Lepisosteus oculatus: one gene and its partners. The protein of the gene in region 3 interacts with the protein of the main gene of each other region in a pairwise test. Links are inferred from orthologs where the notes say so. Each region holds a gene or a part of one and is shown on either strand. Other genes may lie near its edges.

Region 1 (5,339 bases), on a different chromosome or scaffold from region 3:
TTCTAGCTAAAATAAGTACATTGCAACCTGGTTAAGGAGGCAACACAGAAAGCCTGCCAGCTGGCCCTCACTGGGTGAGGGTGCAACAGTATGATGTTCTAGTCAGAACAATGGACTGTCAGTGGTTTTTTTTCATACCTGCCTCTCCTGTCCTTCATGACTTACCACCGCCCCCAGCCAAACATGGCTGATGAGTGCCCTGCCCTCCGGGTGCCTTTGCTCACTTTTTGAGTGGGTTTTGAAGGTGTTTCTGCTTGCTACTTGGAGCCTTTGACCCAGCATACCCTCCAGAAAGACCGTCTAAGACTACAAATACACACTGATATCAGACCTTTGGGTCCTGCACATCATTTAAAGGGCTGTAATCTGCAGTTCTATAGAATTTTGCACCTCTTCATGTGCATCATGTCTACTTCAGGTGTTGATACCTCATTCTTCTTCCAGAGTGGGAAGTACTGTGGTATTATCCATGGGAAATAGAGCACTCCACCTGGTGGAACACACATTTCAACCCATACTGTACCTCAGATAGCTTTCCTGAAATTCTTTATTTGGGATGAGGAAATCCAAGAGTACAAATGGCTGCGGAAGCTGTGTTTCGTTCTTCAGTGTTTCTTTTCACTTTGGGTCTCCATTAGTACAGGCAAATGAAGGACACACAAACATCTTTGTGTGTTGGGTAAAACTGCTTCACAAAAATCAATAATATAATAACAGTAGTAACTAATTATTTGAATTGTTTGCTATTGTAATGCATATGGCTGCCATTGCAAGTTGTTAGAGCCAGCTTACCAGCATGGTGACATCACCGCCCTTCCCTGAGAATAACAGGGATCGCAGCTGTAGGGCTGACGGGAGATTTCCCTTTAGCTCAACTGGTTGGGTCCCTGTTGAGTGATCCCAGAGGCCTGGGTTTGAGTCCCCAGTGGTGGGGGGATGACCTGAGGTGGCAGCGGTGAGGGTGCATACCCACGTGAACCCAAGAGCGCTACAGTATGTTGTTCAATTGTACCATTGTCAATAGAGTATCTGATCAGAAGTCATGAAGGTAGGTTATTATCTTTAAAGGGGAAAGTACCCTTATCAATTTGTATTTGTTTTTCCTTGAATTTTGAAAAATAAATTTGGATTAGGCACCGTCTATCATTTTCTTTTCTTTATGGAACCCAGGTCGTTTTAAATAATGCTATAGTAACACACAATGACTAATGGAACTCTAATTTATGTAGATTATGAGAAATGCTGTGTCTCACTTCAAGGTACACTTTTCTTAAAAAAAGGTACACAAGGTACTTTTTTTAAAGCAGTGATAAGGACACTCATAAACCACACCATTGTCTTTGTTTTTAGTTCTGTGATTCAAGTAAATACAGAAGAACAGCAAAACATGCCACTGACTAATGACTTTGTATGAAGACTATAGAAACAGCTTCATTTTATTTTTATTAATGTAAACAAAATAATTTTTAAACAAATGACTATATGTTTGATTTATTGGATATTTTTGTTTGCAATCGAATTTAATTTTAAAACATCGTAGGACACATTAGTGTCAACGTTGCATGTCCTTACCATGATTTAGTGCCAATTAGGATAAACAAAATCATTAATAAAATAAGCACCGCAAACGAAAGCCCCGTCGAAACTACAATCTCCAGAAGACATTTCGTTTTAAAACGTAACTTCCGTTAACAGTTAAAACAGCATGGCGACGTCCACTGATGTTGGAGACTTGGATGTTGCAAAAATCAGTGTTCCAACTTACGAATATAAAGGTGTCAACACAAAAGTCTTTCATGTAGGTTCATTTGGGAAGCTGTGGCGAGAGAAATTGAACCCCGATTATTTCTCCCTTCAAGAAAACGCAGCTAATTCGGAAGAAGCAGAAGATGCTGCGTTTGCAGAGGAGGTCGGAATTAGTGCAGACGTCTTGGAGGAAGTCAAATTCGTGTGTAGGTATGATTTCACCGCACCTGTTTAAAAAAAATAATTCAGATGAACAAGTTGCACTGTATCCTGTGACATTCACGGTTATCTTGTCTCCCAACTCTTACTTGAACATTAAATCAACAGTCATATTACTGTAGCTGTATGATTCTTATATTGCAGTTTACTTGTATAGTGCAATGCAGAATAAATGCTCACATCCCTGTACAAACGTGTGAAAGTATCTAAAAAAATATACTTAGCAAATTTTAGAGCAAGAAAACGGAAATATACGATTCTCAGTACTTACGGTGGAAATTATGATGGCAAAACAAACGTTATTAAGTGAAGAGTCAGAGGATAAATAAAAATCAAAGTTTAAAATGGAAATTGTAAATTGAATTGCTGGATGAATTAACATTGGCGTCCTGTGTTTATTACTGGTTTGACAGCTTGGATACTTTGAGGTGTCATCCTGAAAACGAATCACCTGACACAGAAGTTGTTGGCCCAAATCCCAGTCTGCAGACATTGAGGTGAGGATATCTGTCAAAAATATTTAAATATTTTATTACTAATTTATTACTAATTCGTCATTTGATTTTTGTGATCCCTCTTTTGCGTTTGACAATGTTGAGGTCCTTTCTGTAGCCTTTCTGTGTGAGCCTGGTCAGTACCTGGATGGGAGACCTCCTGGGAAAAACTAAGGTTTCTGCTGGAAGAGGTGTCAGTGGGGCTGGCAGTGGGTGCTCACCCTGGGGTATGTGTGGGTCCTAATGCCGCAGTATAGTGACAGGGACTATAATCCCACAGGGTGTATCACAAAAAGAGTAGGGATGTTACCCCGGATTCCTGTAAAAATTTTCCCCTAGCCTTTACTGGTCATGGCCTCCTAATAACTTGAATTGGCTTCATCACTGTGTTCTCCCCTCTGATAGCTGATGTGTGGTGAATGTACTGGCACACTATAGTTGCCATCACATTATCCAGGTGGATGCTGCACATTGGTGGTGGTGGAAGGGAGACCCTATTACCTGTAAAGCACTTGGAGTGAAGTGTCCAGAAAGGTCTATATATGTGTAAGGAATTAATAATAATAATAATAATAATAATAATAATAATATTAATAATAATACTAATAATACTACTACTACTAATAATAAAATTAATATTAAATTTAGCCATTCCTCCAAACAGATTGCATGTTCTGCATTCATATTCTTTTTTCAACTCATACCTGAGCTGTGTTTATTTTGTACCACACAACATCCCTTTAAACTTGGCTTTATCCTATTCAGTTTTCACCTTAACAAAATTTTAAGATGAAGCTAATGGGGAAAAAAAAAACTTTTTGCTTAACACTTTGTCTGGTGTTAATACCCACAGGGTGTTTTGCCTTGTCAGTCCCTGAGTTTCCAGAGCACTAGTCCCAGAGCCCATTTACTTCACCCATCAGTTATTTTGAGCTCAAAGCAAAGTCTAATGGGGAAATTGTTCTAGGCATTCACACTGTGCACATGGACATCACATTCTAAGATTTCTGGTTAAAATATGTGTAACTTATTTTTCCCTTTTTTATTCTATTCTTATCTTCTTGTCTGAGCAGAGTTCAAAAAAGGAAGCAGGATTACCGGGAAACTCTGACAATAGATAAGACATGCAGAAGTAACATCTATGCAAGTGAAATGGTGAGTCTGGAGGAGGAGATGGAACATTTGTATTATCTCAGTCCTACGAAACGCTGGTTCCTATTCCAGTGTTGTGTAGCGCTTCTGTGATTGGTGGCTAGGTTGGGGAATTTCTTCAGTGTGTATATTAAGGAGTCATTTGTCTCTCTTATTTTTTCCAGTCACCAGGTGGTATCCATGAGGTAGCTTAGTTAATTACTGCAGTGCTTAATGACCTAAATCTCAGTTTTTTTTTCTGTACATTTTGCATCTTATGGCTGAAGAGTGTGAGTGTTTTTTTTTAGAAAGCATCTATTTGCCTTTCCACCTAATTTTACAGAGCGGGGTTTCTAAAGGCAACTAATTTATCAATTGATTCGTCTGTTTTGTGTTTCTGCCGATCTGTCTGACTGTTGTAATTTATGTATTGTATTTATCGGCAAATATTTTATATTTCCTTAAGCATATTAGTACACCTAAGTGCATTTGTATTTTTACATTGCTAATGCAAAGAAGATCAAGATGGTCAGTGTTGTACTTTGCTTGAGAAAGGATAGTTTAGTGTACTACATGATCAATTAATAGAAAGGTTTACCACACACAATCAGAAAACATGGCAGAAATGACAATGTGGAAAAGAATTGTAGAAATTGATTTTTTTTGTAGTCTTGTCCTTTATCTGCCAGAACAAGGCTCTGTTGGTCAGGTGTGAATGGATATGAGCTGTACTGCACTGTCTACGGTTGTTGTTTTTTATTTTTACATATGACATTGGTTTCTTTGTTTGCATGAATAATTAAGTCTTTATGAGAGAAAGAAAATACCCTGGGAATTACCCAGGGAAGGACAACATTGATTTATGTTTGGTGAAAACAATTTATTATTTATAAAAAAAGCATTTTTTGGTTTAATCCTCTCTTAAAAAGCATCTCAATGTTCTTTTCATTCTAAAAGAGATATATATATATATTGAAAAAAGATTCTGTTCAAATACAACAAGAATTTAAACAGCACTCATTTCAGGTTTTACAAGCAACAACCTCATATATGCTACCCACCATTTACGAGAGATAAACAAGTAATCAAACATTAAGGAAAATATAATGTGTAGATTATAATATTTTTGGTAGTTGTTTATTGATGTGATGGGTCCCTATCATAGATCAGTTTGTATGGATACATATATAGTAATAAGGCAAAATTTAGTTAGGCAGTGACCTCATACATGACTGTACATTCTCACCCATTGTCTGTAAACCTAAAGAAGACAGACATGCCAGAATTAGGTGAATGTCAGAATATTGTTTGAGGACCCTTGGCCTGAGTTTTACTGTGCTGTCATCTCATATTGCTGCTCAAGTGTCACAGCTGGGGCTGAAGTAGATGGAGGTCCCTGACCAGACTCTACAAACTGCTAATTAGCAGTAGATCTTTTTAATGTTAGCAACATAATGTTTATGACAAGAAAACATGCTCTGCTAAAGTTCTGTGCTTGACGGAGGTTAGTCTGTTTTGTAAAAATATACATTGATTACAGGTCCTCAAATCCCCTTTTTTAGTCTCTGTTCGTCATCATAGAGTAGATCCTTAGATGTTCTTGTAAAGTGGAAAAAATATTTTAGACCTTTCATTATCTTTTTTATTGCATTTCATTTAATTTTTAATTTTAAGTTTCATTTAAATACTTACAAAAGTGCTTGAACTATAGTTTGATAGAGTGATTGAAACGTAGAGCCCCCTTCACAG
Region 2 (5,339 bases), on a different chromosome or scaffold from region 3:
GGGAAATTTGGCCAGGATGCCAGGGTTACACCCCTACTCTTTTCGAGAAACGCCCTTGCATTTTTTAAATGACCACAGAGAGTCAGGACCTCGGTTTTATGTCTCATCCGAAAGACGGCACCTATTTACAGTATAGTGTCCCCGTCACTATACTGGGGCATTAGGACGCATGCATTAGCAGCCTTAGTTTTTCCCAGGAGATCTCCCATCCAGGTACTGACCAGGCTCACACCTGCTGAGCTTCTGTGGGTTGCCAGTTGTGAGTTGCAGAGTTGCATTTTAAGAAATGAAGAGCAGAGAGGATGAAAATGGAGTTTGAAAAGCAAACCATGTTATTTGAAATCTCCCATTTATTTCAGATTACCAGCTGAGGACCAACTCCTAGAAATATTCCCTGGGCAAAAGAGTCAAGGACCTGCGGTTTCATTGAACAAGCGACCAAAACGGTGCCTTTGTATTTATAAAGAGCAAATTTCTCAACTTTTTTTTTTAAATGCATAGATTTTGAATGATTTGATTGTGTAGACCCGGCCTTCCTCCCCTACTGTCTCCCCTTAGCCATCCACCCAGGGCTGCCTCAGCACGGCTGCCCTCCTGGTCAGCTTGTCTGCATGCAGTGCTTCGGTACAGCCAAGCCCTTACGAGTCCTGTGACCCTCCTGGTTATCAGATAAGTGATGTGGGAACTGGATGGAGCCCAGTTAAACACTGGACTGGAGAGGCATGATTGCAAGCTGAGCAGCCCTGCTGTCCAGATAGATATTTTTGTGATCATTTTAGGTCAGGGTTCTGGAAGGCTGCTGTGCTCATAACTGCCCATTTCCACTAATTATTGTCTTAATTGAACCATGTTAACGATTCCCAAATCATTAAGGCAGGGATTTCCACTGCTGGTCCTTGTCCTTGTCTGGTGGTTTTCATTCCAGCTGGACTCTTAACAGGCTAAACTGAACTTGTAATTTAATTAGACCACAATTCAATTTAATCTTTGCCGCTCCTTAAAGGTTGCAGCTTGCAAATTACTCAAGAAAGTTTTGCAATTCTTTAAATACGTCAAATGCTGGGGCACAAATAATTGAGCTAGAACCAAAATCTGGCAAACTGTGGTCATAAGGATCTGGAGTGAGGAGACCTGTATTAGAGTATCCAAGAGCAAGGGTGTGAGACTCCACTCCTTGAGGGCTTAGTATATCCTGGTTTTTGTTGTACCCAAGCTCTCAGTTTCATAGAGGTATCTGTTTTTAAATACACTATAAGCTTTGCAAATGGGTTGTAAGAACTGAACAGTATCCACTTCAGCCTGCCTGTAGTGCTATTGTAACATATACAGTATATTTTTACTTTCAAGAAATGTGAGGAAGAAAGGAAATGCTCCCTGTTTTGGCTTAAGCGTCCAATTAGGCTTTAGTTTGATTCCATTGATTAATTTAGGAAGGCAAGGGGTTGGAATCTGCTAAACTCTAGATCAGGAGTCACAAACTCAGTCCCTCGAGGGGCTCTGTGTCGTCAGTTTTTTTTTGTTTCAACCCTAGGAGCTAATTAATTAACCTGATTGTTTTCAAAATTAAACCTATAGAGGATTTTTTAAGATTAATTACACAAGACACATTAAAGGTGCAGTTACCTATAAACTGCCTTGTTAGATGCCATTTTGTAGGAAGTCACATACTGTTGCTTTGATGGTGTTGGTTGTAATTTTGCTTTGATTCTAATCGAGTGATTGTAAATAATACTGTGTGAGTCTTGAGCGTTGTTAAAATTACACAGAAGCCTGCATGATTACCAGATCATTTCTTTCCAGACTTTGTTTGTGTAAAGCTTAGTTTTTTTTGTGTAATTTTAACTAAAATTAAAATACCGTAATAACCAATGGAAAAAATAACGTACATGTATGTGGCATTCTTTCAGACTAAAACATTAAGAAATCCCCTACTGCACTACTTGTAGAACTAACGCTATTCCCGAATGTAAACGTTAATAATAAACAGATCATGTTTTATGCATAGGCAGACAGTCGAGAATATAACGATTATAATTTAAGTATTTAAAGGCTCATGTAGTCTGAGATATAATTTAGGGTGTGAAATGTCAGCAAATGCACAGGGCGTTATGAACCGCCTTTTTTTCTTTGCTTCGTAGGAGCTTGTAATTCAAGTTCTTAGCGGTTTAGTTCTTCTGCCGTATGAATGAATTTGCTTAACTACTCCGTTTAATTGAATAGCCCGCCTTCTCATATTCGTTTCCTATTGGTTCATTGTTCAATCGTTACGAGGTGATACGATGACCGTCAAACCCCGTCTCCGCCTTTTTTGCCTTATTTGGAACCACATTTTCCCGACAGTCGGCGATGATTGGCGGAACACGTTCTGAAAATCCAAAGCCGGTTTGTCTAAATTTAACCACTCGGGTCCCGCCGCACAAAAGGAGCAACTGGGCGAAAGCGGACGCGGTACTGGAACAAAATGCAGCTCTTTGTTGTTGTTGTTGTTGCTGTTCTTGAGACTGATTGTAAAACCTCTGCTGCTGATGAAAAGAAGGAAAACTGAAACTCGGCGAAGGGGAGGATACGATCTGTCAGGGTGGTTCATATTCCTCAGGTTCTGGAGTAGCCGTGGCGCAAGTGTACAGGTCACGTATGCGTGATGCTAATGTATGTAGGGCGGCACGGTATATATTTATAGACCGTGATTTGATTAAAACTGTGTAGGCTGATCCGAGCCGGAAGAACAGCCATATATTTCAAATCAAAGTGCGCTTAGTGAGAAGACGAGATACAGAATAACTTGCGTGAGCCAGGTTAAAAGGGGGTTAACAGCCGAGGGGACATTTAAAACGTAGTAATTCAATTCTAGAAACGCCCATATTTAAGCGGTCTCCCGGAAAGGACCAAGTTTTTTAGGTAAAGGAAACGGCATCATCCACTATGGTCCTGGGTGACCCAGACGCTGGGAAGATGCTCTCGGCCGCGGCGGCGAGGGGAGACCTTCTCGGGGTTCGGAGGATGTTGCAGAAAGGGGTACACCCCGACACCCCCAACGAATTTGGGAGAACCGCCCTGCAGGTGAGGAGGGTGTTTGACCGTGATGGTTCAGTTACATCTCATGAGAAATCTTGTGCAAGGGATGGGGGATGGGGGGTCAGTCAGGGGTCCTCAAAGAAAATGTGCCCCTTAGGAAAGGGGGGGAACCCCAGAAACAGATCAAAGAAAACGGCCATTCCAAGGGATCTGCTGTGACAGTGCGCGTGGCGGTGGATGGAAGCACCTTGATCTGTTGTGTGCAGCTGTTTGACTTCCTGTGATTGTCCCCGATGGGATATATGCTTTGCACGCAGGCGAAAAACATAAGACACTACACAATGCATTGAACGCAACATAATCCCATTAACAAATAAGACAGGCACACATAAATGAGACAGAAAAAATAACAATAAAGTAAAATATACAGTTGTCCAAATTAAGCATGTTAACAGCTGAGGAAATAAAAGCTAATTTAGTTCTATTGCAGTGGAATCTGGGGAGTCTAAATTGATGCCCAGATGGAAGGAGTTTAGACTCACTGTGCAAGGGGCAGTCATGACAGTCAGTGATTATTTCTGCACTGTGTGTTTGGGTACAGTAGATTTCTGACAGCTGTAGCTGTCGTCCTCCAGTAATGTTGCTGGCTACCTTCACACTCCTGCTCAGTGTGTTTTTATTGCGTGGATGCTTGTTGCACTGTGTAGAAAGCGTAGCGCACTTGGAACCTAGCGTTGGTTATTGCACTTAATTGTGTTTTAGAAAACAAAAGAGTACTGGAATTACTGTTTGAAGTGATGAGGTGATAAAACCGATGCGATCTGCAGTGTATGAATTCTGCTATCGTGTGAACCAGTATTTCACCTTAAGGGGTTGATGTTTTTGCTAACGCACATCTAGTCTAAGAAAAAGAAAAACAAGCTTGTCAGTTTTTCTCTTCCTTCTAAGGCTCACTAAGTAAACTTGTTCTGTCAATCATGTGATAATAAAAGTAAAATTCGGAAGGTAGAGCTAGCTAGTTGAGGATGAAAACCCTCCTAGTATATTATAAATAAGATGATCTGTAGACTAACTGATGGCATTTGAAGAACAGATTGTTACTGGTATTGTGAGCCAATATCCACAGGGCTCTCCTTTAATCCCAACCCAGATTACACAGGTCATTAGAAGATTTAATCACCCAATTAAAAGTTTTAGTCATGCTTTGGATTAAGTTGTATAGATGAAGATTTAATATTATTATAATAAGCCATTTGATATACGTTTCCACTGAAGTTCGGTATGTGATGATTTTAGAGCAAGGGTACAGTTAACTCTTATACAGGTGTAGTATAATGTACTGTTATAGTTAGATTAAATGTTGACCAACTCCTTCTGTAGCTAGTGTCGACACCTGCAGTTCCCTGAGCGTGGAACCAAGTGGGAGAAAAGTGTAAAAAAAATGGTTGTTTGCAGAGCTGTAGGTTGTCTGTGAGACATGTTGATCAAATAAATCGCAAGGTTTACTTTAGGTAATTAATTTCTGGGTAAATCATTAAGAGGCCAGGAAAGCAGGATGGAAAGAGAGGAGAGGACAGAAAGCAAGAAACGGGAGAGGAGGGGGAGACACCGGAGGCGAGAGGTGTTTGTTCACATCAAACTCAAAGCCCAGCTTCTCGTTCAGTATTTGAATTCTCTTAAGGAAACCTGCTGTTCTGTTGTTTTTGCGAAAATCCGATTTCCTGCATTAAGAATCCCCTGGTTAAAAATGACCTCTCCTGGTTATGAATGCATGTTTTAGAATAGGGAGGTTGGTTTCCATTTGCTTTGTAGCACTCAGTTTTACATATAAAGAGAGAGAATAGCTGCTAGGTGATATTTTGTTTGGCTTAGAAGAAAGGTTTCTCTCTCCTTTTGGCCTGTGTGGGGGTTTAACAGTCTGTTTAGGACTTGGTAACAGTCTGTGTTTTTCTGATTGGTCAGGACATGGGCTTCTGAGACACCTTGCTTGAAAGATAGAGTAATTTGAATGTTGTGATGTGTGTTGTGTAGTGTTTTCTTATTGTAATAAATACTGTTTATTCAGGTTTGCCTCTGATTTATTACTCCTTCGCCAAAGCTGTGCCAGAGAACAAAGATCTTAAGGGCCTCAGATTATGCCAACTGCGTGGGTAAATTCTTGGCAGACCTTTTGCAATTTGTGGGTTATCCATTTTCTGTAGTATTCCATTTTTATAACAATACTATAAGTTATATAACTGAACATAAGATGATTTATTGCATCCTATAAAACCTCAGTCTGTTCTAGATTGATCATAACTGCAGTTCCCATACTAAAACAATTT
Region 3 (5,339 bases):
AGTATTTGGGGGCGGAAGTTTGAAGACGAATTCAGTGAACATCTTAAGGTGAGAACGCCTTGAGTTGCGCTGGTGATTCTAATAGAATCTTGGAGTTTTTCTGGAAAAACAAAGTCTAGCAGAGGAAGTAATGTGAACAATTTCACCTTTCACCAAATTCAAAAACAGAATCCGTGGAAATGCTTCTAATGTTAATGGGATATAATCGCTTCTCTGTGTTCTGCTGGCTGTTACTCAGATGTGAAATCCAGTGTCCCTATGTCTTATATGTATGGTGTTATTTTATTTTATAATGTCCTATATTTATATAAAACATCCTTTTATAATATTTATTTTAGCACAACGTGAGAGGAGTTGTGTCCATGGCAAACAATGGCCCAAACACTAATGCCTCCCAGTTCTTCATCACGTATGCCAAACAGCCTCACCTTGATATGAAGTATACAGTATTTGGAAAGTAAGTTTAAGAATTTGGAATGTAAATTTTGTTCTTCTCTTACATGACCTCGGTTACAGGGATTAGCTCCACTCATTGTTCGGGGGGTGTTAGTGCTGAATTCTCAAAACTACAAGCAGTCGATGCAAAATGTTCGTCAGAAGAATTGTCCTGTGTGTTTAAAGAGGATCAGCCTCTGACACCACCTCGGTATGATGAATCTAGGAAATAACCAGTCACACAATAAGACTATGTGAAGTAATTGCACACTGTTAGAACACTCCAAAATTAGTTTATTGAATTAAGAAAAGTAGTGTGATTAAAACATAAAGGAACCATGCATACTGCTCATATATATCTAGATTATGTTTGTAGATACCACTAAAAATGTCCTCTTGTATGTCTTGTTTCCATTATATCATTATGTTAATTAATGTAAAAGAATAGTTCCAAAATGTAACCTTCTGCAGATAAACCACTGACATTCATATTCATTTAATAGGAGAGTATAGTATTGGGAAAGGGGAGTATAAGTTATGTGATGATCCTGTTGCCATATTTGTCTTCTGTGGACATCTTTAATGTCTGAGCTGTGTGACCTTGGAAGTTAAACTGGTAACCTTAAGAAAACACTAGGTCCCTAATTGTATTTCATTCTTTTTTTCTTCAGGGTAATAGATGGCTTGGAGACGCTGGATGAATTGGAAAAGCTGCCAGTTAATGAGAAAACGTTTCGGCCGTTGAATGACGTTCGGATTAAGGATGTTACTATGCACGCTAACCCTTTTGCGGGCTAGTCTCCAGCTGCCAGCAGTGTGCCTCAGCCACCGTTACAAAACAACATTATTAAAACTTCTGGATGCAGACAAATATCTGCAGGGTCTGTAATGTTTGCAGTTACGTTATTGTATTACTTGGAAAGAAATCTTCACAACAGGCCCTTGTTCCACTTCTTTATTTTTTCATATGTGATGTTTTGGTTTAATTTATATTACATTTAAAATAAACCTTTTTTTTTAAGTATCACAGTGTTGTAATGCAGTTATTAAAACAAGAACAGTTGTGTTTTTTATGCACAATGCTGATTAGATTATACACATACGTGACTATCCATTCCATCACAGATGTTAATGCATCCCTTTCACCTGTTTGGCAAAGTAATAAGAGTTATTGCCATTTTGGTTGTTGGACATGAATGTGGTATCTCATCTAGAGATGTTCTCATCTAGAGAACATCTAGAAAAAAAGGTAATCAACTTATAACCAATCAATTTAAAGAAAATAATTCACCAACTACACAGTACATCACATTGTGAATTAACTAAAAGGAAAAAAAATGTGTTATCCTAAATGATATCCTTTCTGATAAATAGACAAATCGGAGCCGTGCGGTCAGAAACGTGGGGGTAATCCATCACTTTTGTCTACTGGAAATTGACGTTTATCCGCATTTAAATGCGCTTTAATCTCTTACTACTGTTCACTGAACTGCAGATACTTATCGAGTGGTTTTCATTTCCACATAAGCTCTCCATTTTTTTTCGTTTAAATTTCCCGTCAAGTGCCTTTTTATAGTCGAGCAAAGAAATAAATTCTACTAATCGATGTTTTCCCATTGAGATACCAGAATCCCCAGATTCGTATACAAATACTTGTGAAATTACACATCGTGAAGAATTCAGCACTTCAATCTAAACAGAACATATAGTTTGTTTACTTGTGATTTGTTTTGAAATCACAAGTGAATTACAACGTTATATTTGTCTTTCAAAAATGTACACGCATACTTTGTTGCCGGACTGAAATATGCACCTTGCTATACCAAGCTGACACATCACTAAAGTTGTCTTTTCCATGGCAATGTCGCTTTGTGATGAGGTCATACAAATGCCGAGCAGGCAGTTTCGGAATCAGTGGTTGAGACTGTTGAAGTATATTGCTTATTGAGCTCTTAGCATTAAATCACTTTTTATTTTTTAATCGATTCATGAAACATGGCAACCGAAGACCCTTTTAAGGTAGGCAAATACCGGCAATACGACCCAATACCCTGCCAGCATCGCGCTCTTTCAGCTGCTGGTAATAAGCACGTTTTAACGTTACAAGAGTGTACAAGGGTAATGCACCGTACCTTTACGAAAGTGTGAAATTCGCTGCCATTATGCTAGCCTGTCAAAGTTTTACAAATTTGGTCAACCTTAGCCTACTCCAGACAATCTTTACATCTAACCCACCGTAAGTCACTATCGACAGTCTCAATCAGATTAGTTTTTTTTTTAGTTGCAAGCAAAACGTCATATCTAGAAAGCCAGATTTTGATATTCGGTACCTTTCTTTCCCTTGAACCAAACTCTTCCTTTATCGGACAAACGTCGCACCCGAGAGGTCAAATACTGGTTCCTGTTTGATCTGTCTGCTAATACATTTTCAGGTTTCCTCGCTCAAAGGAAAAGTGGCTCTAATTACTGGAGCCAGCTCAGGAATTGGGGCAGCAACCGGCATTCTGTTTGCCGAACTGGGAGCTTTGCTGGCGCTTAATGGGCGTGATGTGGAAAACCTGACCAAAATAGCCCAGCAGTGCACAAATGCAGGAGGAACAGAGGTAAAGAGCTGATTTGTATATTATATATTTCTGTTGTGGCCCGTCCGATCCTCAACAGTAAACACCATCAAGCAAATGAGGGCTGATCTTGCTCAATTGCTGCAGAAGTGTTCCTGTAAAAACACTACCTAAAATACCCAGACGTTTCTTAGAGAGATTATTTTGGAAGGAAGGGGCTAAATCTCATGTTTCAGGACTGCTGATTAAATTTAACCTGGCTCGAGTAAGACGGGCAAAGAATTAGGCCTCCCTCACAAAATAATTTCCTAATAAAAGTAACGGCCCAGGGCTTTTTCCAGAAGAAAACTCTACACCCTGGAAAAGACAATATTTACCTCTCTCTTACTTTATCTGTTGTCTGTAGCTCAAGAAGAATACTATTCCCAAAGAGTCCCTTTCCCTAACTTTATTATTATTAATATAATAATAATCATGATGGGTGAAAACCAAGGGTAAATTTGGCCAGGATGCCGGTGTAACACCCCTACTCTTGTCAAGAAACTCCCTGGAATTTTTAATGGCCACAAAGAGACAGCACCTTGGTTTTACGTCTCATCTGAAGGATGGCACGTTTTTACAGTGTAGTATCCCTGTCACTATACAAGGTGAGCGCCCCCTACTGGTCCCAATAATGACTCCTTCCAGCAGCATTCCCAGGAGTCTCCTATGCAAGTACTGACCAGGCTCACGTCTGCTTAGCTTCAGCAGGCTGCTAGTTGTGAGTTGCAGGGTGATATAGATGCTGGCTTAAATTTAATTTAAATGTTTAAAAAAAGGTTTGACTCTTCTTGCAATAATCAATACACCATACAACCTGATCTGTGCAATGGAGGCCTTTAAAATCCTGCCCAATAAAGCTAATACTTATGGACAAATCCACAGGTATCTGTACACTGTCTCATAATATAAAATCATCTGAGTACTACACGTTGATGTAACGCAGCACCAAGTTTCAAGCATTGTTTATAGAATTATTTTTCATTGTTAATCCTAAGACTAAGGAAAGAAAAAACAATGTTCATTATTCACCTCTGTTAGTATAGCCTAACAAGAGAACAGGTAAAGGTTTATTCCATGCTGAAAGGAATAGCAAGGAAGAGATGCAACGTTTCGGCGATGAAGGCTTCTTCAGACGTAGAGGCTCCACAGCCGAAACATTGCGTTTCCTTTTCAGCATCGAATAAACTTTTACTTGTTCCTTTGCAGCTTACGCATGCTGATGCAGCTACCTACTCGAACATAGTCTAACAAGAGCTCAGATTCCCTTGTGGGAATGAGGGTTAAAATAACCTGCACCTATAATATACAGTATAACAATATCTGAGAATATTTGGGACCATTTCAGAACATGTGGGCATATTTGGAAGGTTCGCCTGTAAATTTCGATTGTCTCTTTATGAAAGTGTTGGAATCTGTGTGAGACTTTACAGGGAGACTGAACCACTCACAGTCCCTGAATCTGTGTGGTCCTCTTTAGCCACTGTTAGTGCCTGGCGACTTGACGGATGAAGACACAGTGAGGAAGACTATCGAGAAGACCATTGCTCACTATGGGAGACTGGACGTGCTGGTTAACAGCGCTGGGATCCTGGCCATGGGCAGCATCGAGACTACAGACATGGCTCAGTACGACCGGGTCATGAACATCAATGTCAGGTAAAGAATGAAACCAGCTTTAGTTAATTAGTGTGATCTGATATTTGGCAAAATGTAGTGCATTTTTATGAAGCTTATCCTTTCAGCACCTTGATTATTAAAGGTGAACTGCAGTCCCAGTCTCTCAGACTGGTTATTAAATTTCGACAACACAATAAATTCATTGACGTTAAAGAAAAATGTTATACATTTTGACTTACAGTAAGCACAAAATTGTGAGCTTTGTGAAAGTACTGTAAGTCACCATGTTATCGCAAACCACAGGTTTCGCTACATGCGCGAGTTCTCACAAATGGCAATATGTGGCCCTTCCTGTTCACTAGTCACTGTAATGACTAATGTAATCTGATGTACAAGTGCATATGTACAGGTTGTGCAGCAGATATTTCACCGCAGAAATGTTCCAATTTGGTATACATGCAGAGTTAACAAGTAAACAGTATTTGTCAGCAAAATTGTCTCAAAGTCTAGAGCATTATTTCTGTTGGATTAAAAGAGGTGTATTCACAAGCCTGCCTGTTTACAATATTATAGGGCCGCATCACGTCTCCGAAAAATGTTGTTGTCTTGATCTGAATCACAGTATATGGTGTTGCACATATCTGGAAAGTTTCTCTATTTTGTGATGAAAATTGGATGTTTGAC

Evidence for each region.
Region 1: the proteins of 3-oxoacyl-[acyl-carrier-protein] reductase FabG (region 3) and snapc3 interact in binary tests that used the Homo sapiens proteins (3 or more experiments, as listed by UniProt). The two-hybrid records come from large-scale screens. The link is inferred for Lepisosteus oculatus from reciprocal best matches to the Homo sapiens genes HSD17B14 and SNAPC3.
Region 2: the proteins of 3-oxoacyl-[acyl-carrier-protein] reductase FabG (region 3) and cdkn2d interact in binary tests that used the Homo sapiens proteins (3 or more experiments, as listed by UniProt). The two-hybrid records come from large-scale screens. The link is inferred for Lepisosteus oculatus from reciprocal best matches to the Homo sapiens genes HSD17B14 and CDKN2D.

The regions. Positions count from the first base shown.
Region 1 is NC_090696.1:57,956,514-57,961,852, forward strand, and holds the start of snapc3 (snRNA-activating protein complex subunit 3), read left to right. Parts: upstream 1-1,681; 5' UTR 1,682-1,705; coding exon 1,706-1,956; intron 1,957-2,378; coding exon 2,379-2,462; intron 2,463-3,532; coding exon 3,533-3,614; intron 3,615-5,339.
Region 2 is NC_090706.1:16,473,822-16,479,160, reverse strand, and holds the start of cdkn2d (cyclin-dependent kinase 4 inhibitor D), read left to right. Parts: upstream 1-1,968; 5' UTR 1,969-2,922; coding exon 2,923-3,060; intron 3,061-5,339. UniProt on the Homo sapiens protein: Interacts strongly with CDK4 and CDK6 and inhibits them.
Region 3 is NC_090719.1:4,646,528-4,651,866, forward strand, and holds the start of 3-oxoacyl-[acyl-carrier-protein] reductase FabG, read left to right. Parts: upstream 1-2,291; 5' UTR 2,292-2,430; coding exon 2,431-2,454; intron 2,455-2,867; coding exon 2,868-3,038; intron 3,039-4,515; coding exon 4,516-4,694; intron 4,695-5,339. Other genes in the region: ppil3 (peptidyl-prolyl cis-trans isomerase-like 3), read left to right, coding at 1-48, 339-457, 1,107-1,233. UniProt on the Homo sapiens protein: Catalyzes the NAD(+)-dependent oxidation of L-fucose, yielding L-fucono-1,5-lactone, which rapidly converts spontaneously to L-fucone-1,4-lactone. Can also act on D-arabinose and L-galactose, with lower catalytic efficiency. Does not use NADPH.